2 linked regions of the Notamacropus eugenii genome follow. The protein of the gene in region 1 binds, or shares a complex with, the protein of each later gene. Links are inferred from orthologs where the notes say so. Each region holds a gene or a part of one and is shown on either strand. Other genes may lie near its edges. The genes, in order: SMAD7 and SMURF2.

What was found.
Region 2: the proteins of SMAD7 (region 1) and SMURF2 are in contact, whole or in part, in an NMR structure (PDB 2LTZ), measured with the Homo sapiens proteins. The link is inferred for Notamacropus eugenii from reciprocal best matches to the Homo sapiens genes SMAD7 and SMURF2. Residues at the interface, in NP_005895.1 of Homo sapiens: Glu203, Leu204, Glu205, Ser206, Pro207, Pro208, Pro209, Tyr211, Ser212, Arg213, Tyr214, Pro215, Met216, Asp217; in NP_073576.1 of Homo sapiens: Glu304, Arg306, Asn307, Thr308, Ala309, Thr310, Arg312, Tyr314, Val316, Asp317, His318, Arg321, Thr322, Thr323, Gln324, Phe325, Thr326.

Annotation. Positions count from the first base shown.
Region 1 is NC_092875.1:323,882,525-323,895,153, forward strand, and holds the start of SMAD7 (mothers against decapentaplegic homolog 7), read left to right. Parts: upstream 1-6,989; 5' UTR 6,990-9,083; coding exon 9,084-9,738; intron 9,739-11,119; coding exon 11,120-11,173; intron 11,174-12,629. UniProt on the Homo sapiens protein: Antagonist of signaling by TGF-beta (transforming growth factor) type 1 receptor superfamily members; has been shown to inhibit TGF-beta (Transforming growth factor) and activin signaling by associating with their receptors thus preventing SMAD2 access.
Region 2 is NC_092873.1:327,715,366-327,727,100, reverse strand, and holds the start of SMURF2 (E3 ubiquitin-protein ligase SMURF2), read left to right. Parts: upstream 1-7,036; 5' UTR 7,037-7,171; coding exon 7,172-7,223; intron 7,224-11,735. UniProt on the Homo sapiens protein: E3 ubiquitin-protein ligase which accepts ubiquitin from an E2 ubiquitin-conjugating enzyme in the form of a thioester and then directly transfers the ubiquitin to targeted substrates.

The sequences.
Region 1 (12,629 bases):
TTCAGCTCTTATTCAGTAGACAGCCAAGGAGTGTTGAGAGCCACATTGGTTTTAGTAATGCTGCCTACCTTCCTGAAATGATTTCTTTCAATTGTATTATTGCCAGATTAAAATGGCTTAGTGCTCACTCACACATTTTCAATGAATGATTGTGCAGGAAATGTTGATATTTTACAACATTTTTTGAACCATTTAAACTTAAAAATATTTTTGAAATCTTTAAAAATGAAGAATTTTTTCTCCCCCTTTTCTTGGTTGCTGATACCACCCCTGAACCTTACCTTTTACTCTCTCTTGAAGTTATTTTTTGCAAAGGAAGCAGAGCGGGAATTCTAATGCCTAGTCATTGCTATTAACATTTTATTTTCAGGTTCTATTTAGGATTTTTTTTGTAAAAGGTTCTTTTCCATCTAGCCAGAAACCGTAGTCCCAAATTCTTCTTACTTGTTTGTGTCTCAACCCTCCTTACTCTTTCTTTGTGCAGTACAATGAGTTAGAGTTAGAAAAGACTTGGATTAAAATTCTGCCTCTGACACTAAGTAATTGTGTAACCATGACATAGAAGGACCATTGGACTTGAAATCAAATTGTATCAGACACTTACTAGCTAAGTGATCTTGGGCAAATTACTTAGCCTTTCTAATCCTCAGTTTCCTCATCTGCAAAATACCTATAGTATCTACCTCAAAGACATCAAATGAGATAATACATGCAAAATTAGTTTTGCTATATACACATCATCTGTCATTACACTATTTCCTCCATTGCTTTTCAGGATCCCATTTTCTGTCCCTTTTGGCTTCCTGGGCACTCTGTTGAAACCTTCAGGTGGGGTCTGGGACGGAATTTTAAGGGTCTGCTGATGTTAAAGGGGAGGATTTGGGGGAGACTCAGTTACCAGACAAAGTTGCTCCCCTTTCCCTCTTAAAAACCAGAAGCTTGCTAGCTCATGAATGCTGGGATGGGACATTTGCCCGAATTCTTCCTAGGTTAGTCCAAGGCTCTTCAACTATAGGAGATTAAATAGCCAGTTTCTTTAGATGACTCCATCCTTGTTTGTCATAACTGCTGCTAGTTATTTTGGTCTCCATGACTTGTGGCTGTACCATGATTAGTGTTTGATTACTATCACCAAAGTGACTAAAAGATGAAAATAGAAGCCACAACAGGAAATAAACAACTGCAAATGAGATATTTTATTCCATATTCCCTGCCAGCAACTGATTAGAATCAAATTCATTCATAATAGTTGGGGGGGGGGCGGGGATTTCTAAACTCTTTTTAAGGCCCAGAGGAAGCAGGAAAGGTACACATGTCCCTCACATTTATATTTGTGAAAGAGAATGGAAAGGAAACTTTCCACAGAGCAGCAAGGGACCCTCCTCTGCAGTAGGGACCCGTCCTACCCAGTAGTCTCAGACTCAAACTGCTTGTTTGTTTTATGTTTAATACCACTAATCTATTCACACGACTATCTAAGTCTTTGTTTGCCTTTGCTGAGATTTGTTAATCTAGTTATTGGCCTCTTATACAAAGGGCTACATAATATGGGGGAAGAGGGAGCCACTAAGTAGTCCAAAATTCTGGTTTGAGATTCTTGCTTTTCTTGGCAGTTTTTCGAAAGGAACCGTGAAGGAGAGGACAGATGGGGAGAATTGGAAAAGGTTTGCTGTTAATATCAAGATAAGGGGTCATTGATGTAAAAAGCATGAAGAATTAATAAAGATTGATGCTTGCCCCTATAAATCAGCTCCTTTGAAAAGTTTTGGTTCAGTGAGTTCAATGGAAAGGGAGAAGCAATGGCCAGAATGAAATAGCTCTCTAAAGTCTGGATTAAAACAGTATAAACAATAAAGAAAGGTGGTGTCACATAGGTGACCCCTCCAAAAATGATCCCTTAGCAAGAACTATGTTCAAGTCCCATGCCTGATATGTGATGCACACTGGCTGTGTGACCCCAGGGAAGCTACCTATCCTCTTAGTCCCCCAGACAACTCTGGAAAACAATAAATTTTAGGGCAGGTGTCAATTTGCTTTGGTTGTGAGAATTTCTTCATCAGGAGTTCCTTAGGGCAGGGAAATAAAATTCCTTCCCCTCCAATCAAAAATCCCCTTGAGAATAGGATATGTATGTATGTGTATGTATATGTGTGTGTGTATATGTATACACATACATGCAAACAAATGGCACATATGCCTATGTGCTATCTAGTCATGCCCTCAACATAATAATATAGCATTTGATCCTCACCACAACCCTATAAAATAGGTGCTGTTATCATACCTATTTTGTAGATGAGTAAATCAAGGCTGAGAGAGCTTAAATGACTAGCCCAGGGTTACACAGCTATTTGGGGTAGAATTTGAATCCAGCTGGTTCTGAATCGAACTCTAGCACTCTCAACTCTGCCACCTTGATGACACCAGATTAAACTTTTGTCACATTTGTTAAGTTTGCCTGACATATATGTGTTATGTATGTATGTATTACTTATATTTCTATTAGAAGGAGAAAAGTTAACACAATTTTCCAAAGCTTTTGAAATAAGAAAACTTTTTTGTTCAGATTCTCAAGTTAGCCAAGAAATACATTAGCACTAGGACTTTTGTTTTCTATTTATTCAATTCCATCTTAACATCTGAAGGCTAGTCTCACAAAATGTTAGAACTGGGAAAAGACCTCAGAATAATTTAGTCCAATGTCTTAATTTTATAGATGAGAAAACCAAGCCCCAAACAGGTGAAGTGACTTGCCCAAATCATAGCTCATTAGGTAGACTCCAAATGGAGTGTTCTTTCCCATAGTGGGCCGCCTTTGGAAGATGAGCCTGCCTGTCATTTATTTATTTATTTGTTTGTTTGTTTGTTTATTTATTTTTTTTATTTAACTTTTAACATTTATTTTCACAAAATTTTGGGTTACAAATTTTCTCCCCTTTTATCCCCTCCCCCCCAAACCCAAGCATTCTAGTTGCCCCTGTGACCAATCTGCTCTCTCCTCTATCCTCCCTCCCTGCCCTTGTCTCCGTCTTCTCTTTTGCCCTGTAGGGCCAGAAAGCTTTCTTGACCCCTTAACCTGTATTTCTTATTTCCCAGTGGTAAGAACATTACATTTTGATCCTAACACTTTGAGTTCCAACTTCTTTAGCTCCCTCCCTCTCCACCCCTTCCCCTTGGAAGACAGGCAATTCAATATAGGCCAAATCTGTGTAGTTTTGCAAATGATTTCCGTACTAGTTGTGTTGTATAGGACTAACTATATTTCCCTCCACCCTATCCTGTCCCCCATTACTTCTATTCTCTTTTGATCCTTTCCCTCCCCATGAGTGTCAACCTCGGATTGCATTCTCCTCCTCATGCCCTCCCCTCCATCCTCCCCCCCACCCTGCTTGTGCCCCTGTCCCCCACTCTCCTGTATTATGAGATAGGTTTTCCTATCAAAATGAGTGTGCATTTTATTCTTTCCTTTCGTGGAATGTGATGAGAGTAGACCTCATGTTTTTCTCTCGCCTCCCCTCTTTATCCCTCCACTAATAAGTCTTTTGCTTGCCTCTTTTATGAGAGATAATTTGCCCCATTCAACTTCTCCCTTTCTCCTCCCAATATTTCTCTCTCACTGCTTGATTTCATTTTTTTTTTAAGATATGATCCCATCCTCTTCAATTCACTCTGTGCACTCTGTCTCTATGTATGTGTGCGTGTGTGCATGTGTGTGTATGTACTCCCACCCAGTACCCAGATACTGAAATGTTTCAAGAGTTACAAATATTGTCTTTCCATGTAGGAATGTAAACAGTTCAACTTTAGTAAGTCCCTTATGACTTCTCTTTGCTGTTCACCTTTTCATGGTTTTTTTTTTTTGAACCCTCAAGAACAGTATTTCTGTCTTTATTTCATAATGCTTAAAGATTCTCTTGTAAATACTGAGCAGGGAACTAAACTGACACTCTGAATTGTCAAGGTCCAGATTCTTCCTTCCCATCTCCATTTCTTCTGTGTGTAACAGCTATATTTCTGATTAAAACTCATAATACTTTGTTGTGGCTGACTCTTTGTGACCCTATTTGGAGTGGTAAAGATACTAGAGTACCATTTTCTTTCCGAGCTTGTTTTATAGATGAGGAAACTGAGACAAACAGGGTTAAGTGACTAGCCCAGGGTCACACTGCTTCTAAGTGTCTGAAGTCAGATTTGATCTCAGGAAGATAAGGAGTCTTTCTGACTGCAGGTCAACACTCTATCAACTGCACCACCTAGTTGCCCCAAACGTGCCAAGCTACTTCATTAGACCTTAGAGTTAGAAGGATTTACAATGGGGAAAATTAAGATCCAGAGAAGAAATGACTTGTGCAAAGTTACATAGACCTGAGATTCAAATTCACATGTTTTGATTCCAGATCCAGGATTCTTTCCACAATGAAAGAGCACCTTTCCTATTTCCAATGAAAAGTTTAATTGAAACACATAGCTGAGAGAAACATGTTCTCTATTGGTATATAGGCATTCTATAGACTGATGTACCTATGCACAGCTTCCCAGAAATGTATTTAGATGATCTCTGCTAGAGAATGATCACACAACATAAAAGGATGTGTTTGAGTTATTTAGTTTTTTCACTCACACCTAATTCTGTCCACCTTTCTATGTGCAAGGCAATTTGAAGTTACTAAAATATCTGAGATAATCTCTTTAATCTCAAACAGTTAACAGTCTAGTAAGGGAGATATAAAATTCTTGCTTTTTAATAACAACTTAAAGTTAACATTTCTTGTTCAGTCACATGAAATCCCCCCATTTTGAATGTTTACTTTTTAAAAACTCATACTACTATTTGTTCCCTGTACATGTCAAGTAGGCAGCTAGGTGGCGCAGTGGATAGAGCACTGGGTTTGGACTCAGGAAGACTCATCTTTTATGAGTTCAAATCTGGTACTTACCAACTGGGAAACTCTGGGGAAGTCACTTAACCCTGTTGGCCTCAGTTCCTCAACTGTAAAATGGACTGGAAAAGAAAATGGCAAGCTACTCTAGCATCTCTGTCAAGAAAACCTCAAATGGGGTTATGAAGTCAGACATATGTCTAAAGTCAACAATGTATGTCAAGCATGCTAGTTTTTTAAATCAATAAATACTAGACATTACTAATGTTTGTATATGAATTTGAAAATATCAACTGTCACCTCCTCAAAAGAATCTTTTCAGATCCTCTTCCCCAAGCTTTTTGCAGACCTCCACACCCAGACATTCCTTTGAATTTTATACTTAATATTTACTTATCTATGTTCTTCTTATTTTTCCCCTTTAGAATACAAGCCCATGGAGGGTAGAAAATATTTTAATATTTATCTTTGTATACTAAAGGGCCCCGTGAAACTGCAGTAGGAGCAAATGTTGGTTGAATTGAACATTACTCCTGTATAAATGTTTTATTAAGATTCTCTGAATTCCATGTGACCCAGGGCAAATCACTTAACCTTTCAATGCCCCAGGCAACTTTCTAAATTACTGAGAAGGTGCGGACCTGCTTTGGAAGTGGGAGTTCCTTCCAGGAAGCCCCTACCCAGATAAGATCAAAAGTCCAGTCCAAAAAGGGGGGGTAGGGGGTTGGGGGAAATCATCTGGATGTTCAGTTCCTCACTCATCACCAACTTACACATTTATTAGGGCTGGCTGTCTAGGTGGTGGAGGAGTAGATAGCACCCCAGGTTTTCGGTGTCTGCAGCACTTAGTATAATGTCTGGCATATCGTAGGCGCTTAATAAATGCTGCTAGTTGACTTACTGAAGAAGTATGGAGAAGATACAATTCCTGATCCTCAGCATCATAGTATCTAAGAGAAACCATCACCATCCATGTCACTAAGGGCATATGTTGCTATATGCATGTCTCCTATAGTGCCATACATTTCAAGGCAGCCGATTCAAGCTTTGGTTACGTTGTGTTCGTGGGGGTTGAATGTTGTGTCTACATATTTACTTACGAAATAAGAAATTTGCAGGTCACTACATCCAGCCTCCCTCCATTCACCCACCTCTTCGTGTTGGGAGTTGCCAAAATCCGCTACAAGCCCCACTTTACACTTCACAACCCTAAATACATTCCAGAGCTGTTCACAATACACACTTCCGATGTAGTTACCGAAACAAGAGCGTGGAGGAGACCGAAAGAAGACTGAGGTCACATTCTCGTCCGGCTCCCCACCCCTAGGCCAGAGCTCTGCTCGTTCCCCTCCAGTGGAGACTTCCTGGGGCTCCAGTCCAGTCTAGTTTTAAATGACTTCTTAAAAGAGGACAGAGCTCCCCCCTCCTCCCTCCGGAGACTGCTGGGCAACAAACCCAATAGATCTCACGGTCAGGACTCTCCATCTCTTTAAATGAATGAAATGGGTTGGGGAGGGGGGCTTAGAGGAAAGATTGGGCCGGAGGGGTACTGTACAGGGGCAACGAACACCCAGACTAGTCTGCTGATGCAAACCCATTCTTGAGTCCTTTTTTTTGTTTTGCTTTTAATATTTTCTCTTTGCTGTAACTCTTCCAGCCGACCTGATTTTATATATGTGTATGTATGTATATAGATAGATACCTATACGCATGCACGCACATATATAGGGAATCAGGTGTTTTTTTCTCTCTCCACCTCCTCTTTTCTTCCTCTCTTTCTCTTCCTTCTCAGTTTCTCTTTCTCTCTCCCCCTCTCTCCCCAGAATTCAGGAGGAGGGAGTAGGAAGGGAAAGCAGGGGGGGGAGGGTGGTAAGGAGAAGAAAAAGAAATAGCTTTTAGAAACCCGATCTGTTGTTTGCGAAACACAATCGCTTTTTTTTTTAAAGCGACAGGGTGTCTAGACGGTCACGTGTCCAGGCCGGAGCCGGGCGCGCCACTGCGCAGTGGAATCAGCGAAGCAGAGAGAGCCAGGGCGAAGTGGGAGGGGGGGTGTAGGGGAAGGAGGAGGAGGAGGAGGAGGAGGAGGAGGGGCGGGGGAGGAGGAGGAGGAAGAGAAGCAGGGGAGTGTGTGTGCAGCAGGCGGCGAGCTTCAGACACACATACATACATACACACACACACACACACACACACACATGCATACACGGGAGCTAGGTCCGCGAGTAGAGCGAGGTGAGAGCCAATACCGGCTGGAGGCAGAAGCTGTTCGGAACCCTCACTGCCCTCCTCGGCTTCCCGGAGTCTTCCCCTCCCCTCGGGATTGCAAAGCACCGGAGCCCGGCTCCAGAAGCCAAAGGCAAAGACTAAGAAGAAGAAGGACACCCCACATTAAAAAAATATTCCCCTCTGCCTTCTCCTGCGAGGCAAAGCCTGCTGGTCCCCTCCCTCCCCAGAAGAAGAGGGGAAAAAAAGGGAGGAGAAAATAGGAGAGAAGAAGGGATTCCAAGCTTTTTTTCTTGCTGCTTGCTGCCCGGCGCATTGAGAGGAAAATAAAAGTCGGAGAGGCCAGAGAAGAGAAGGAGGCGGAAAGTAAGCAGCCACCCTCGAGGGAGCCCCGAGCCCAGACAAGCGACTGCCTGCCGTGCTTTTTTTTGATCTTTCCTCCTCCTCTCCTTCTCTCCTCCTCCTTCTCCTCCTCCTCCTCCTGCTTGCTTGCGTGTCTGCAGCCGAGGCGAGGAGCCTGGGCGAGGAGCAACCCTGAGAGGAGGAAGACACGGTTGCAGTAGCATTTGCTAGAGAGAGCCAGCCAGCCTGCGAGCTAGAGAGCGAAGCCGACGCCAGTCTCACCTCCTGTCAGCCTCGGCATCACCCCCCCTCTCAGATCTGTTTTTTCTCTCATCTCCCTCCTGCAGCCGTGGGGCCTGGAGGAAGTGGGGACTGGGTCGGGGCGGGGGAAGCAAGGCTATCCCTCGGAGATCCACCTCGGAAAAACCAGGAGAGCTAGTGAAGGCTGGTGCAGTTTTTTTTTGGAGGGGAGAGTGGGTGGCTCTTTGTTTTTTTTTTTTCTTCTTTCGCTGAGGTGGTGTTAGGAAGGAGGAAAGACGAGAGGCTCACTTAAAATAATAATCAGACGAGCATGGTGGAAGAAGCCGATTCAAAGCTTCCTTTGGATTAAAAAAAGATACATATACACATATGTATATATCTTTGGCAGAAGAAAAGGAGAGGAAGAAGAACCGAGCTCCTAGAAGAAAAAAAAGGATGTTAACTCTTGGATACATTTTTTTCCACCAAAATTTTTTTTTGTGATACTTTGTAAACGTTTTGTCGCCCTTTTTCTTCTCTTTTTTGAAAACTCCGACACAACCGGACGTCCCCGGGGCTGCGCCTTGCAGTGGTGATTGTTTTAAATTTTTATTTAGAATATTTGGGTTCCCCTCCCTTTTTAATTGAAAAATAATTTTTTCGTCAGGCACCTCATGCGGGGTGAAATTCACTTTCTTCCCCTCCCCCGAACCTTCGTGTGGATGGAATTCGTGGAGATCCGGTTACTAAGGATATAGTGCAAAAAAACAAATTAAATCGCGTGCCTGCCTTTTTTTTTTTAATTGCCAGCTTCTCCTCACCCCCAAATTAAGTTGCTTAGAGAAGGGGAAAAGAGCATTTTCTCCTGATTCAATCAAAGAAACAAAACCTTAAATTTTCCTTTTCCTGAGGTTCTTAGCCTCAGTAAGGAACTGAGGCTGGAGGTGCTGACATTCAAAAGCTACTCCTCTTCGTTCTGCGTTTGGGGGGCAGTGAGGAGAGAAGGAAGAACTACCTCTCCTGAATCCCCGTTTTTTCTCCCTTTTCCTTTGTATCTTCCCTTGGTCAGCCCGGTCTGTTTCCTCGGCGGGGCTGGGCGAGACGACCTGAATTGGGTGCCAGTGGAGCGGGGTGGGGAAGCCGGAGAGGAGCGGTCCCTCCCCTGCCAGGCCCCCCCAAGCCCCCCCACTCCCTCCGGGCTCCGAGAGACTGGCGCATGTTACGGAGCGTCCCTCCTGCCGCTGCCGCTCCTGCCCGGGCTCTTGCTGCTGCTGCTGCTGCTGCTGCTGCCGCCTGCGACTGCTGCCCCAACTCGGCGCCCAAATTCTTCATGGTGTGCGGAGGTCATGTTCGCTCCTTAGCCGGGAAACGACTTTTCTCCTCGCCTCCTCGTCCCGCATGTTCAGGACCAAACGATCGGTGCTCGTCCGGCGTCTCTGGAGGAGCCGTGCGCCCGGCGGGGAGGACGAGGAGGAGGGCGCAGGAGGAGGCGGAGGCGGAGGAGGAGGAGGGGAGCCGAGGAGGGAAGGGGCGACGGACAGCCGGGCGCATGGGGCTGGAGGAGGAGGCGGCGCTGGTAGGGGTGGCTGTTGCCTGGGCAAGTCGGTCAAAGGTGCCAAAGGTCACCACCACCACCATCACCACCACTCCTCCTTGGGCGCCGGCGCTGCCGGGGGCTCGGAGGCTGAATTGAAGGCGCTAACCCACTCCGTGTTGAAGAAACTGAAGGAACGGCAGCTGGAGTTGTTGCTGCAGGCGGTGGAGTCCCGCGGGGGAACCCGCACCGCCTGCCTCCTCCTGCCTGGCAGAGTGGACTCCAGGCTGGCCCTGGGGCAGGGGCCTCCCGCGTCCCCTCTCCAGACTCAGCCTACCCAGCCTCAGCCGCCGCCGTCGTCTTACTCGCTCCCCTTGTTGTTGTGCAAAGTGTTCAGGTGGCCAGATCTCAGGCATTCCTCGGAAGTCAAGAGGTTGTGTTGCTGTGAATCTTACGGGAAAAACAACCCGGAGCTGGTCTGCTGCAACCCTCACCACCTTAGTAGACTCTGCGAATTAGGTAAGGAGTTTTCACTTGCTTCAAGTAAAGCTTCTCCCCTTGCCAGTGATGGAGCAAACAGAATTGGGGTCTATACTTTTTACAACTGTGTGATTGCATTCTTTTCACCCTGCATTGCTAGTGGGGAAAATGTGTGCTTATAGTGAGGATGCATTGTAAGGGGATCCGGGGGCTTGGACTGATGTGTACTGTGCCTTCTTCCTTTTCTCCACTCTTCAGGCCCGTGAGTATGATTTGGCGTGCATATTATTCATGCAGACCATACGTGTGCATGTAGTTCAAAATTAGAGACCAAAAAAGGGTGCAGAAAAAAAGTGTCCTTGCTCCCTCTTGCCCCCACTCAGATAAAGGAGTAGGAGATGTCAATGATGCAGACTAATTGATTCCAAGAGAAGTGGAAGTGTTCCGAGTGACGTGAATCTCCTATCCCTTGGTAAATAAGGAAAGTCAAGTTGACTCTGGGACTGGGCTATGGGGATTGCAAAGACAGCTTGAAAAAAAGCTATCTACATAGCCTGCTGTAGATTTCCTCCTGAATTGAAGAAAGAACAAGAAGCCACTGGGACATTGGGATTCCAATTTTTCCTCCTCCAGAAGAAAGAGAGAGTCCATACAATTACAGGCTCTGGTATTTATCAGATGACATATTTGTTGCCCCTTTACAGAGCTATAGTCCAAAAGGATTCCCCTTAAAGCTCTATATAATAAGCGTAAGCTGTCATTCACTGTCCCCCTCCTCTGACTCTCTCTCTCTCTCTCTCTTTCTCTTTCTCTCTCTCTCTCGTTTTGGGTGAATGGGGGCATATTGATTTTGGAGTATTTTCTAATTTAAAACTCCGTTCCCATTGTAGCCGTCCCAGAGTTTCGCGCAGCTCCTACAAACTTTCTTGAGTTCTTGGGTGGTTGGGTTGTGAAATAGAAATCAGCTGGTGGCAGGCAGATCGATAGGACTTTTCTCCTTTTTTCATTATGTTTGGGTGTGTGGTTAGAGGAGGAGATGAGTGTGGGGTTATGGGGAGGGTTGGGAGTGAAGGGGGATTTTCTTTCTTTCCCTCTTTTCTGTGAAATGTTCTACGTGCTGCTCGGGAGGATTATCCAGCAGCCTGAATCCGTGGTGATTTCCAGAGCTGGAGTGTTTCAGCTGAGCCAGGGAGACCGGATCAGACAGTCAGAGTAGCAGATAGCAGCGAGTCTGGCGCCAGGCGGCCTCTTTTGTTTATCTGACAGCAAAATATCAAGGCAATCGCCGCCTCCCGGCCCTGCCTCCAACCCCCAGAGCTAAGACAAACAGTTTTGCTAAAAGAATGCCACTGTTATCACAAGTTTCTATCTCTTTTTCTCATGGCTCTGCCTTATTTTCTCTTTACTTTTTCAATTCCAGAGTCTCCCCCTCCTCCCTACTCCAGATACCCAATGGATTTTCTCAAACCAACTGGTGAGTAGATGATTTTAAAGTACTTCGAGTGTGTTTAGGAATAGAATGGTTAAGTCGGGTGTGTAGTAAAAGCAGCAGGGAGTCGTTATGCTTATTAAATATAGAATGTGCTCCTCGTTTTTTGGGGGTTTTTCCCAGTAACTTTGTTAGGGCTAAGGGGCCTTTTTTTTCAGGCTTATATTAGAAATGCTTTAAAATATTTTGTTCCTTTTAAGTGTTTTTGCCCTCTGTGCCCTACCAGTTTTAAAATGCATAGGCTGTGATGGGTACCAGAAAAATGTCAAGGGAGTCAAGAGATAACTGGTTTTTAGAAGAATTTTAGAAGAATTCAAAAATTTCTAAAATCCCAGTGCCCAAAGAGTAAGGGCGTGGAGTGGGGAACTTTTACAAATTCCAGCACTTTTTTCATTTTGATGGATCTAGGTTGGTAACCTAGTGGCCAGAGAGAATGTTATTTTCTAAGGTTAAAAAAGGTGATTTGTAGTACATTTGAGTTTTTAGGAAAACAGCAACCACAAATCCTTCCCCTTTTCCCTGTGTTACTTCCTATCCCTAGTCACCTGTAAGTCAGCCTTCTCCCATGCTTCCTTAAGAATTCTTAGTGGGGGCCATAAAAGTTTCTCAGCCTTGTTCTGCATGCCTGTTGCTTTATAATTGAGTGGCAGGATGCCAGGGCAGAAGCCCATTTGAGGCTGGCACCGGCTCTGTTGCGGTTGTCTGTATAAACTTCTGGTTGGCAGCAGGCTTGGCCCTGTGTTGATAAGTAGGACCAGCATTGTAGAAGGAAAGAAAGAAGTGCAGGGGAAATAAGAATGGTGGATAACATCAGGGAGGAGTCCTGGTTTCATGGAGCCACTTTATATCTCTCGAAAGATTAATTGGCTAAAAGTATTGATTGTAGCACAAGTTGTCTTTGTGCCTGTGTCCCAGTGTTGGAATTTTTCAAGCTTTTACTTGACCAAACATGTGATATGAGAAAAAGAGGCATGTTAGACCTGAAGAGGGGCAGAGGTGGGGCAGGTGGGTAAGCAAGCCTCCCCAGAGCTCTCCTAGTGTCCTCGGAGCATCTTTTAACCTTTTGGAATTAAAACAGCTCCACTACATCATGCGTTTTGTCTGATGGAACTTCTCCTAATTAAAAGTTTTGCTGAGGTGGAGTCATGAATGAAAATACTTTAATGAACAGTGTTCCTGAAGCCCAGATTCCACAGGTTGGGCCTCCTCCTCCCCATCTCCCTCAAGTTAGAGAGGCGTTCCTCCCTCCCCTCTAATAAATGGCCAACAATGCATGTGATATTTTGCTTTCGATTTACAGAATACCAGATAAATGGTCATTAATGAGGAGATAACTTAGAGCACTGTGTTCTTAAAGTGTAAACTGAAATTCACCAGTCTCTTAACTTGCCAAAGAAGGTTACCAGACTGCTTTATACGTATTCAAGAAAAGCTCTGGACT
Region 2 (11,735 bases), on another chromosome or scaffold:
AGGAAGAACAACAATTTGGTTGTTTCAACTGCCCCCTAGTGAATCTGCTAAAGATCTTGAAGGTGAAGCAAAAATTTCAGTGGAGTCACTATGTGGCATTTCTAATGCATACATGAATTCCACTAGGAATGATGCCACAGGCTTTACCTGTACTTGCTAATGATTGAGTAAGAACCACATTTGGCTATTGACTTCTGCTTTGGTGTTTCAGGAGATGGAGATGTGTAAAGACTTATAACCAGCATGGTTATAAGAGATAGGCCAAAGGTAGGTCAAGAGATAGGCCAAAACAATCTTACAGTGGTCTCTGCTCTGAAAAGTGTGCTAAAAACAAATGTCAATATAATGCCCAGTTCACTGGCAAGGTCTTCATCCAAATGATAGAGTTTCTGCTAAGAAATCTTTGTGCATAGGAAATACACATGATAATAGATTTATGCAAAGCTCCAAACACTTGATACAACTGCTTCCAAAATAGTAACAGAGAACTGGTAAGGTCCTACAATGAGAATGCATCAAAACCACCCATTCTCTATCGAGAAACTAGATGGATCAATTGATGTGGAAATCTGCTTGTGGAAAGCACCATCAGCTACAGTACTAAAACTACTATGGTTTGTTGCCTGCATTCATAATTGAATGAAATCTATCCATAGACCCTTTTTGTCCTATCCATGGATCCCAGGTTAAGAACCCCTAGTCTATAGACACAAAAAGCCCCTCTTATTTGGAATTGAGTTCCTTCAGACATGGTAGAAATTCCAAAGTTGTATGACTGCTGACCAGTCATATTTCCATATAGAGATTGGTGGAGGGGTCAGAGAAGAAAGAAGAAGGCTATATCTACCCAGGCTAAGTGCTGTATTAAATTGAGTATTCTTTCTCTGCCACGGCTAAGTAAACCTTCTTTTGTAAAATAGACATTGGGGATAGCTCACATTGATTTAGCTGAGCAAAGCTCTCTTGCCTAAGTTACCTACTGTGATCCACCAGCCAAGTGTCACAGTACCCATGGAGCTCCTCATGACTACTCTGGATTTAGGCAATGAGGAAACGATGTACACAGGCCGAGCCTTTAGTCCCTAAGCCAACCAAGTCTCCAGGAATGTCTTAATACCTTTTAAGAAATGTGTACATCTGGAAGGGTGTAGAAATCTTCTGAACATTTAGTGAGGTGAGAAAACTGGAGGACAGAGTGGGGGAGGGACTTTTAGAGGGGTGTGTGGATTGAGATGGGGTAGTAAATGGGGGTATTGTTGAGGAGTAGGTGAAGTAAGTGGGTGGGAGGGGGAGGAGAGAAGATAAGGTAATAGGAATAGGGTAAAAAGAGAGGCTGAGAAAGAAAATAGCGAGTAAAAATAAGGTGGAGGGAAATTCACAAATAGTAATTATAACTTTTAATGTGAATGGGATGTTTATGATGGCTCCCTTTCTGGTGGCAAAGAACTGGAATCCTCATCAATTGGGCAATGGTGAAACAAGTTGTGGCATTTGGTCCTAATGGAATACTACTGTACTATAAGAAAAGATGGGCATAATGACCTTAGATGGGCACGGAAAGTCTAAGAGCAAAGTGAGAAGAACCAGGAGAACACTGTATACAATACCAGCAATATTGTTTTAAGAATGACTTTGAGTGAATGGATCATTTTGGCTATTATAAATACACAAACTAAAAATAAAGAACATATGAAGATGCTATCTGCATCCAGAGAAGGAATTGATAAAAAGAAGCATGTATAGAATAATTTTACATATACACCTATTTGTGTCTAATGGTAGGCATCTCTAGGGCAAAGAGTAGAGGGAGGGAAAAAGAAAGAAATTTATATGTTAACTTCTTTGTATATTTAGAGGGAATAGCAAGTTGTACATGGTAGATTTGTAGTTTCATGTGCAATTATCTTTTTTATTGTACTGTGTTATAGAAATGCTTGTTCTGTTCCATGAATTGAAAATAAAATAAAGAAAATGTTGAGTGGACTACATGTCTTATTTGGTTCCTCCATTGAACCTAAACTACCAATAGATTGGCCTAAATCAGGCCCTGCTCAGAATAAAGAGGGAGATTCCAACTAGTAGACTAGGGAACAGTGAATTTAGTAGTGGTGGTGGGGTGTCAGTGTTCACTTGAACCCTGAAATAAGTTGCGTTTAATCAGTCAAGAAACATTTATTAAACACCTGCTATGTGCCAGGTACTGTGTTAAATACTGAGGATACAAAGAAAGGCAAAAAACCAGTCCCTGGCCTCAAGGAGTTCACAGTCTAATGGGGGAAGACAACACATAAAAAGAAGCTGAAAGGAGAAGTAGGGTAAGGTGGGGAAATCTGTGCAGGTATCTGGATTAAGTTCTGCAACTAGTTGTTAAGTGGAGGATATAGGAGTCAGTCTCTGATGTCCTCCCTGCACCCTGTCCAATCAGAGGGAGGAAAGTATTCCAGGGAGAGAGGTATCAAAGAATTGAGAATTTTGGAGTTGATGTGGTCTTCCAGGAGAATGAGTTTGGAGATAATAATAAAGTACCAGATAGCTGCCAGGATGGGAAATCATGAGGTAGTTGCCCTTAAATGAAGGATGTGAGAGTAGCTCACCAAAGTCATTCAAAAAACTTAGGACCTTGTAACTATCCTATAATAGCTGACCCTGATCCATGAAGAGGACTGATGACTGTCCCAGAAGAGATATCATCTGTATCATGGCCTTGTTGTTCCTGGTGCCACTCATTGTCACCTCTTTTGAATTCTTGTGACTATTACTGCATTTTCCAAATGAAGTCTTTGTTATCAGTCTGTTCATAACATGATAATAATTTCCCAAAAGGAAATTATATCGGAGATTTTTGCAACACATTTAGAAGCTTTCTTTAATCACTTGCTATTACTTCTAAGCTATTTAAAGCTGTTGAATAACTTGCCCATGGTGTCTCAGCAAATATATATAATTCTTTTTTTTTTTCTGTTTTCCTTTGTAAATGAAAATGCTTATCTTCTTTGGTGCTGGTTAAGTTCAGAATAAGAATTTTTTTTAAATAAAAGAATAGTTAATTTGCTGTGATTGTTACCTACCTCTGACATCATTTCTCACTATCTTCTCCTTTAGTCTGGTCACTGGTGAAGAGGTGACTCTTCACCTTGCCAAGGCTGTCTCCTTTCTGTTTATTTGCCATTGCTTCTATCTTCTCCTATTTTATCTAACAGATTGTCCCTGCTATGATACTCAAATCTTTAATCCCTGCTGCCTACAAAAATTCCTTAGTCTTCTTCATTTGATTTGATTCTACCATCACCATCAACTATTATTCTACATCTTCTCTTTCTTGGCTAACCTTGAAAATGTCATCTGTACTTAGTTCCTCCAAATTGCTCTCCTATCCCTCTATTCTAAACTCTTTGCATTGTGGTTTCTGATCTCATCACTCAACTGAAATTGCTCTCTCTAAAGTAATCAATAATCTCTTAATTTCCAAATCTAATGACCTATTATGCTAAGTTCTTATCCTGTTTAAACTCTGTGCAGCATTTGATACTGTTAATCATCTGCTTCTGGTTACTCTCTGGGTTTTTATGACTCTTCTTTCTTCTGGCAAATCTCCTACCTGTCTAGTCATTATTTTTCGGTTTTCTTTACTGGATGTTCATGTCACTCCCATTAACTGCAGATGTCCTCTAAGAATCTGTCCTGGGCCTTATTCTCTGTTCTTCCTATGCTCTCAAACTTGGCATTCTCATCAGCTTCCAGAAATACAATTATCATCTCTGTGCAGGTGATTCCTAGATCTTTATATTCAGCTCTAATCCCTCCTGAATTACATAGTTCCTGTTTTCAAACTGGGTGCCCTAGATGTCCTCAAACTCAACATATTCTACCCAAAACAACTAATTTTCTTTCTATCCAAATGTCTTCCAAACTTCCATATGCCCTGCTGAGGGCAGCAACATACTTCCTGTTACCCAAGTTTGTAACCTCAAGGTTATACTTAACTTTTCACTTTCACTTATCTCATATTGCCAGATCTTCCCCTTTTCTTCACATTTTTTGGATACATTTTTTCTCTAATCATGTAGTCATCATCCTAGTTCAGGCCTTTATCAGCTTTCACCTGGAGTATTGTCATAGTCTAATCGAACTCTCTACCTTGGAGTCTCTTACTTTGTTAATACATCTTCCATACAGTTTTAAAAGTGGCTTTCCTAAACCTCAGGTCTGCTCATGTCCTCTCGCTATTCAATCAAGTCCAATGGCTCCCTATTGGGAATTTTAGGTTTAGGACAGTGCCTGGCATACAATAGATGCTTAAAAAAAATACTTTGTGATGAGTTTTAGGAATAAATGTGTACCTTTTTATTTGGCACTTTTAAACATCCTGACTCCTATCTTTCCAGTCTTTATACACATTACTTCTTTCTGCTCACAATGTGGTCTTCTTGCTGTTCTCCACACCCTATGTTTCAGTTCTCATCTATGCTACCTTTGCCCTGTTTCCTGACCTCTGACTCATGTAATCCCTGGCTTCCTTCAAACCCCAGTTTATGGGCCACCTGTGCAGGGCCATTCCTAGTTCTCTTTCAGTACTTGTACCTTCCCTGAAAGTATCTTTTGTAACAAGGTATTGGATAGGTCTTGAACTAAATGTCCCCTGGGTAAAATAAAGGTCTAAGCCTTCACAAGGAATTCTGGGATTTGTAATCTGAGAGACAGAAAGCATTTCTTGTTATCCTGAGCCTGGAACTACAGATTTCAATGGCACCTGGAAGTTTTCAAAAGAAGTAGTCTGTGAGAGAAGGGGAGAGACAGAATATGGAAAGGTAGCAGTGGCAGGAGTGGATACCATTGAAGAGAAATATCTGGTGGTTTTCTTAGGGTAGTGTGTGTGTTCTGGCACAGGAGGCTGAGCAAGGAAAGATGACTTCAGTGCTCAGTCTTTGATAAATGGAGCAAAGAAACTCAAACTGAAGTTGCTAGACGACTGTCTACTTAAGAAGTAAGGAAAACTAGGGAAAGGTTTTACTCTTTGCATCTCTCACCTCCCTGTTTGCTAACTGCTGCTCATGTGTAGATTTTTGCCCCTCCCTGCTCCTTTGTTTCTTTATCCTGAATTTGTTTCTTATAAATCCAGGGTCGATTATGACTGCTTTGACTTACATACATTTATTCAGTTCTTGGAAAAGGGGACATGAGGGATGCCACTGATTGGCTTAAACACTTAGGTCGGAGGGTTACACTTTGGTTCAGTGTGTGTGGGGAGAAAGGGAATAAGTATTTATATATCCCCAACAAGCACTTTACAGTTATTATCATTTGATCATCCATCACAACAACCTTTTGAAGTCGGTGTGATTAGTATTCTCATTTTACAGTTCAGGAAAAAGGGGCAAACAAGTCAAGTGACTTGCCCAGGGTCACACAGCTAGCAAGTTCCTGAAGCGGGATCTGAACGCGGGTCTTCATGACTTCAGGTCCATTGCACCGTTTCATTGTAGCTGTTGTTATAGCACTCCCCAACTTGTTTATAGCAAGCTCTTATGATTTTAGTAATAATAATAATTTTATAAGCTTCCCCTAAAGCAGAATTTAAATTGGATCCCAGGCTTTCCTTTCCCCTAGGCTATAGATGCGAACTCTGTTACAGCCCAGACTATTTAACTTTGAACCTAGGAATCCCAAGCAAAACTCCAGGGGAAGTGTGAAGCAGGGGAGACTGAGGGAAAGGTCCCGCCCTAAGGCCACCCAATGGGAGGACAAAAGTCCGGTTAGGGAAGAATCAGTCCCTCTCCTTTTTCCTTTTTTTCTGGGGGGTGGGAGGGGGAGAAAGGGAGTGTTTCCCAGCTAGATCTTCCCCACAGTGACACCAGCTGATTACATCTCCCTTGTATATATCTTGTATATCTAGACCTCTTCATGTTCATATTGCTTCCCCCCATCAAGGTCAACCTCTTGAGAGCGGGGACTTGTTTTCCCTTTTTCTTCGGACCGCCAGAGTTCTGCACGGGGGACTGACACAAGGCAGCAAGAGCTTCAGGAACGCCTGGCAGCTGTCACCGCTGGAGGGAGGGGCTGGGAGGGACGCTAAGCCTGTGGAGTGTCGTAGCCACAGGACCATCTCAAGAGAAGGTAGCCCAGCTGCTCCAGGAAGAATGCACAGAAGGGGCGGGGGCGGAGGCGGGAGGCATTTAACTTCTGTCCAGGCTTCCTCGACTGAAAAAGGAGGAGTTCTTCCCTCCTTTTCCTCTTGGGGAGGCTAGCGCTTTAAATGCTAGAAGAGGTTCTACCAGGGAGCAAAGCTGTTACTGGGTTAGGAGTCCGGTCACCCCCAGCTCGGGTGGCGGGGGGTCGGGGAACCTGACCCCACCCCTTAGGAATGGAACAGAATGTCTCCCCAGGGTGGGGGTGGGTGAGGACGCCAGGTCGGTCAGCCGCCTCTTCGGGGCTTCGGGGACACTTCTGCCTCCCAAGGGTCCCGAAAAGCACGTGAGGAGGCGTGGCAGGGCCAAGGCCAGGGGATAGGTCAAGACCGTCTGCCGGGGCGGCGGCGGCGGACCGGACGCTCGGCTGGAGCCTCTTCCCTTCCTCTCGGCTTCTTCCGTCCCCTCGCGCTCCCCGTGACGTCACAGACCCCGCCCCAGCTCTTCTACACCCTTTGTCACCCCCCCCCCCCCAAACGCTCAGCACTCCCCCCCAGACTGAGTGGCAGCGTCGGCTGGAACGCGTTCCTTCCGAGGGAGGGCGGGTGGAGGAAGGAAGACGAGGAACCTCGAGCTCAGCCCCGGCGTCGCCTCAGCCCGGCCCCTCTTCGCCGAGCCGAGCCGAGCAGGGCAGCGGGGGGCTGGCCGGAGCCCGAGAAGCCGGAGGAGAGGGCGGGCGCGGTGGGAGCGATCTCGGCGTCCCGCTCTCTCCTCGGCTCATGGCGAGGACTCTCGGCACATCCGGGACCCTGGGGCCGCCGCGGCCGCGGCTCCGGCTGCTCCGTCCCCAGCGCCAGCCCCGGCCCGGGCCTCAGTCCCAGCCCCGGCCCCAGCCCCGGCCGCTCTGGTGACTCCGCCGCGCCTTCGCTCCGCCCGTCCGCCCCCGGCTCACCAGCCGCGCGCTCGGATACTGGGAGACGCCCGGCCCGGCGCCCCGCGCCCCGCGCCCAGGCCCTGGACGAGTCGCCGCCGCCGAGGCCGAGGCCATGTCTAACCCCGGGGGCCGGAGGAACGGGCCCGTCAAGCTGCGCCTGACAGGTGAGGGCAGGGCCATGGGCCGGCGGGGATCCCGGGGGCAGCCCGGCTCGAGGCGGGCCGGACCGGGCCGAGGGGACCGCGGTCTCCCGCTGTGGTCCCAGGAGTTGCGGCCCGGCCCGGCTCGCGAGGAGGTGTCGGCACCGGGGTCGGAAGGCCTCGGGCCAAGGCCGATCCAGAGTCGCCGCTTTCAGAACTCTCGCAGCCCCTCAGCCACCTCTGTTCTTTTGTTGGGGGACTGGGAGTGAGAGAGAATGTGTGCGCGCGCGTGTTTAGTGAGTTTGTGAGTGTGAGAATGCGTGAATGCTAGTGTGCGTGTGTGCGTACGCGTGTAGAGGGGAGGTCAGGTTTTGAACTCGACTTACTCGGAGTTGGAAGTCCTCGGAGCTCCAGAGCTGGGCTCTCTCTAGACTCCTCTCAGCACTGGCCCTCCCAGGTTCTGTCCCTTGAAGCCCCAGGCTGCGGTGCCGCCCGCCTCGTGCCCCGCAGAGCTTGAATGCAGTGCCCCTGCGCTGGGGATAGGGTGCACCCCCTGGGAGCACGAAAGCTTCTGGGGATGTTTGCTGAAGCACCCCTGGGTTATTCAGGTGACTCCCTGCTGCCAGTCCAGGGTAGCCTGGAAGCCGTGTTTGTATACATCGCAAGGCTTTGTTGCTCATGGAGGAATTGTGTAGACGGACCACCGGCCCCCCGCCACCTTTTCTTCAATCTTACACTTTTTTATTGCCCGAAATCAGAATAATCAAGCTCATTCAACATATTCTGCGTTTTGACAGTGTTAATGGTAACCTAGCCTTTAGAAAATGCTTATTTTTGTGAGCTCAGAGAAGCCGTGTGTGTGTAAATCAAGAACTTGTAAACTCAGGACTCCTGGGAAAAGAAAACTCTGATATCAGGAAAGCGTTTTCCCCCCATGACTTTGGCTAAAGTTTGCCAACTTGAAAAAATAAACCAAAAAATGGCTCTTCTTGAGCTTAAAAAAGAAGTATATTGTTTCATAATTTACCTATCAGGTGTGCTAAATACTGATATGACATCGTAAACAAATTTTGATTTTTGTTTTGAAGATATGTCAAAATGAGTCAGTTACCCTGCCCTTGGGGAAAAAATTCCAGGTTGCTAAAGTTTATCTGAATAACTACTGAGAAAACCCAGTTTTATTAAAATAGGTGTTTTAGGTATAGTTTGATCAGTGATAAAAGTTGATATTCTGATTTGAAGTGATTAAAATTTTTGTCACAGAATTTTTTTTGGCTCTTCCCCCTAAACCTACCACTTTCTCTTGAGGGCATCATGATTCTTCCTATCACCATGGTGGTCATTCCTAACCTTACTGTCATTCTTAACCCTTGACTCTTGTTACAAAGAAATTGTCCATATTTAATCAGTTGCCAATTCTTACACGAATCTATCCCCTTGTCACTTCTTATCCCACAACCACCCTGGGTCCAGGGCTTGTAACCTCTTGCCTGGACTGTTGCAGTAGCTCCTAATTGGTCTTTAGGCCTCCAGTCTCTATGCTCTAAAATTGATCCTCCACACAGTTGTGAAGTCTGACTGCACTTCTTTGCTCAAAAAGTTTTAGTGACTCCTCATCACTGCCTTTAGGATAAAGTACAGATTACCCTGTTTGGCATTTAAAGTCCTGGCTCCAGCCTATCTTTTCAGACTGATTACACATTACTCCCTTTCCTGAACTCTACACTCTAGCTAGTAGTATGGGCTGTTTGCTGTTCTTGGTGCAGGCCATTATATATCCTTCCTGTCCTCCCTTCCTGCTCTCCCTTCTAGTCTCTGCTCCATGGATGCTCTACCTGCATTCAAAGCTCAGCTCAGGTGCCATTTCTTTCAGGAGGCCTTCTTTCATGTCTGTTGGTCATTGTGTATTTATTTTGCATATATCCTGTACTTATACATTGACTGTGTAAGGTCCTTGAGTTGGTTGGTAGCATTTTTATATTTGCATTCTCAGAGTTTGTTGCAATGTGTAACACATAATAAATAGGCACTTAAATGCTTGTTGGCTGATAGAAGAAAAAGCTATACCTGTTGACTTTGTTATTATGTGGATTTGGTAATTAAGCAATTGCTATCACTTTCAGAGTCCATGGGCATAACCTCTGAGATTAAAAACTCTGAGGTTAATTTGGTTGATAAATGTGGGAGATTTATTTTAGATTGAATGTATGCTGGCTCTACCTTTTCAAGTCCGTGTCTATGATGATATTAAGCATACGAATTATGACTCCAGATGAGCAATAGGTATCAAAAGTAGGATTTTTGCTACTTATTTTTATTAAATCTGTCCCTAAATGGAGAAAATGAAAGTATGAACAGATTTGCAGCAAATAAAAAGAAGTTGAGTTTTCCACATAAGCCATTAGATTCTTAAAATGTGTCCAGTGTTTTGGATTTTTTTTTTTTTGGTGCCAGTGGTTTTAAGGTGCTTCCTTTCTATGTGTAAAATTTAATAAAGCACTGAGCAGTGTAGGTTTCTCAGAAAGATTGTAATCTTAAGGAAAGACCTTCTTTAGTGCACCAGACTAAACTTCATTAAATGTAAATTAATTATATGTAATATAATAATTGAATTCATGTATTTTCAGATTTTGATAAATTTCAAGATACAATGTTATCTTTATTGCCATTGATTATAAGGTAGTGTTAGGAAGCCTGATTTGTGTGGTTTACTCTTGAAATTTGATAATTTTTTAAAATCTAAATTTTTCTTTTTCTCTTTGGCTTCAGAGTGACAATTTTTTATTTTGGCACAAATCCTCCCTTCCCCTTTATTATTTGTAAATCAGATGGTATAGAGTTAACAAACAGATTTCTAGAACTGGATTTAATTAGCAGCTTTTTAGGATATAAACACTAATGGGTTAGATGGAAAACATTGTTTTGACTGACTGGATAAATGACAAGGCAGTGTTTGATCAAAGTCCAGGAATTGGTCTGGAGCTAATACCCAACTTCTCAGTCTGTCCTTGAGAAGCCAAATAAAATATTTAACCTAGGCCTAATTTTTTTGGGGGGAAAAAGTTTGATTTTTTTGTTAGGCTCTTAAGAAAGTTCTAAGAAATGTTTGGCATACCTTTACACTAAGTGTTTAATAGTTTATTTAGATCTGGTTTCCATGATAGAAAAAAACATCGGTAGTAGGCATTTAAAGAGTTGATATTTGGTTTATGGAACACACTGGCTATAAGATCCTTCAAGATTATTGTTCTTTGCTTTATTTGTTTTATCATAAACCATTTTTTTAAGTAATAGAATTTTTAGTTTTTAGACTATCTTTTATTCCAAAATACTTTACGAACTGTAGGAATGTGCATATGGATGTAACCATGGGTATATATGCATAGAAACGTATTTCCTTGATATACAACTGCCTCTGATGAAAGATGATAACCAATTCTTTGGACATTGTTAGGAGGAAAAAAAATAATTCAGCTTGGGATATTTTTGGTTTTAGTAAATGCTGCATAAACTCAGTGTTCAGGCCTCAGATTTTCAAGCATTTACCTAAGTTCTAAGTCACTGTGTTGTTAGTACAATACTTGGTACAAAAAGACAGGGCTGATTTAATCCTGAATATGTGGTAGAAAGCCACATATTGGTCTAGAAAGCCTATCCACCCTGTAGCATTTGTAGGTGGTTATTAAGTATATGTTTTTATTCTTGAGAGTAGCTATAGCTTGAAGAAAGCTGTCAACATTAATAAAATTGATATTTAGATGAAATTGAATGATTTAAAAAAATTTTAAGATAGGATTATTACTGGAGTAAATAAATTTTTAGTAGACAAGGTTTTAGAAAAGTTGAGTGATGTGTATTCATATTTGAACTTTAGCAAAATTTAGAATTTTGCATAGTCTCAATGTTTATAAATTTATCAAATAGTTATTGGGGTTTCTAACAATTTTAGTTTCTTAGATGTAAAAAGTTAATAGTACTTCTCCATAATAGTGATTTTAAATACTTTTAGAATTTCCATTCCATGATTTTCCTGTCTCCTCCTTGTAACATCTTATTACTCTAGTACTCCAATGGATCCCATCCATGGAGGCATTTTATGCTGTGATTCAGATCATAACCTATTTCTCTCTGTCCATCCAGTGTGACTCATTTGTGCTGTCCCATAAATTTCCCCTTAGGTCTCTTGGAATTGGAGGGATATCAGTGAAACACATGGGCTGTCCATTGGCTTTATCTCTTTAACTGAGCCATTCTTTTTGCCATGCATTACACTTCTTCGATAACATCCTTGACTCAACTTCTCTTGAGTTATTCCACGTGTGTAATGTCTTGAAGCCTGTTTAGTACACCATGTCAGTAAGGCAAGAATTTTTTGAACACTTAATGTACAGTAGTCTAAGGCCTGGGAATACAGAGAAAGGCAAAAACTGTCCCTGCTCTCAAGGAGCTGGTATTTTAATGGGGGAAATAACATGCAAATAACTTTATATATCTAAGTATCTGGCTCCATTAATTCCACCACCCACTTAAAAAGTA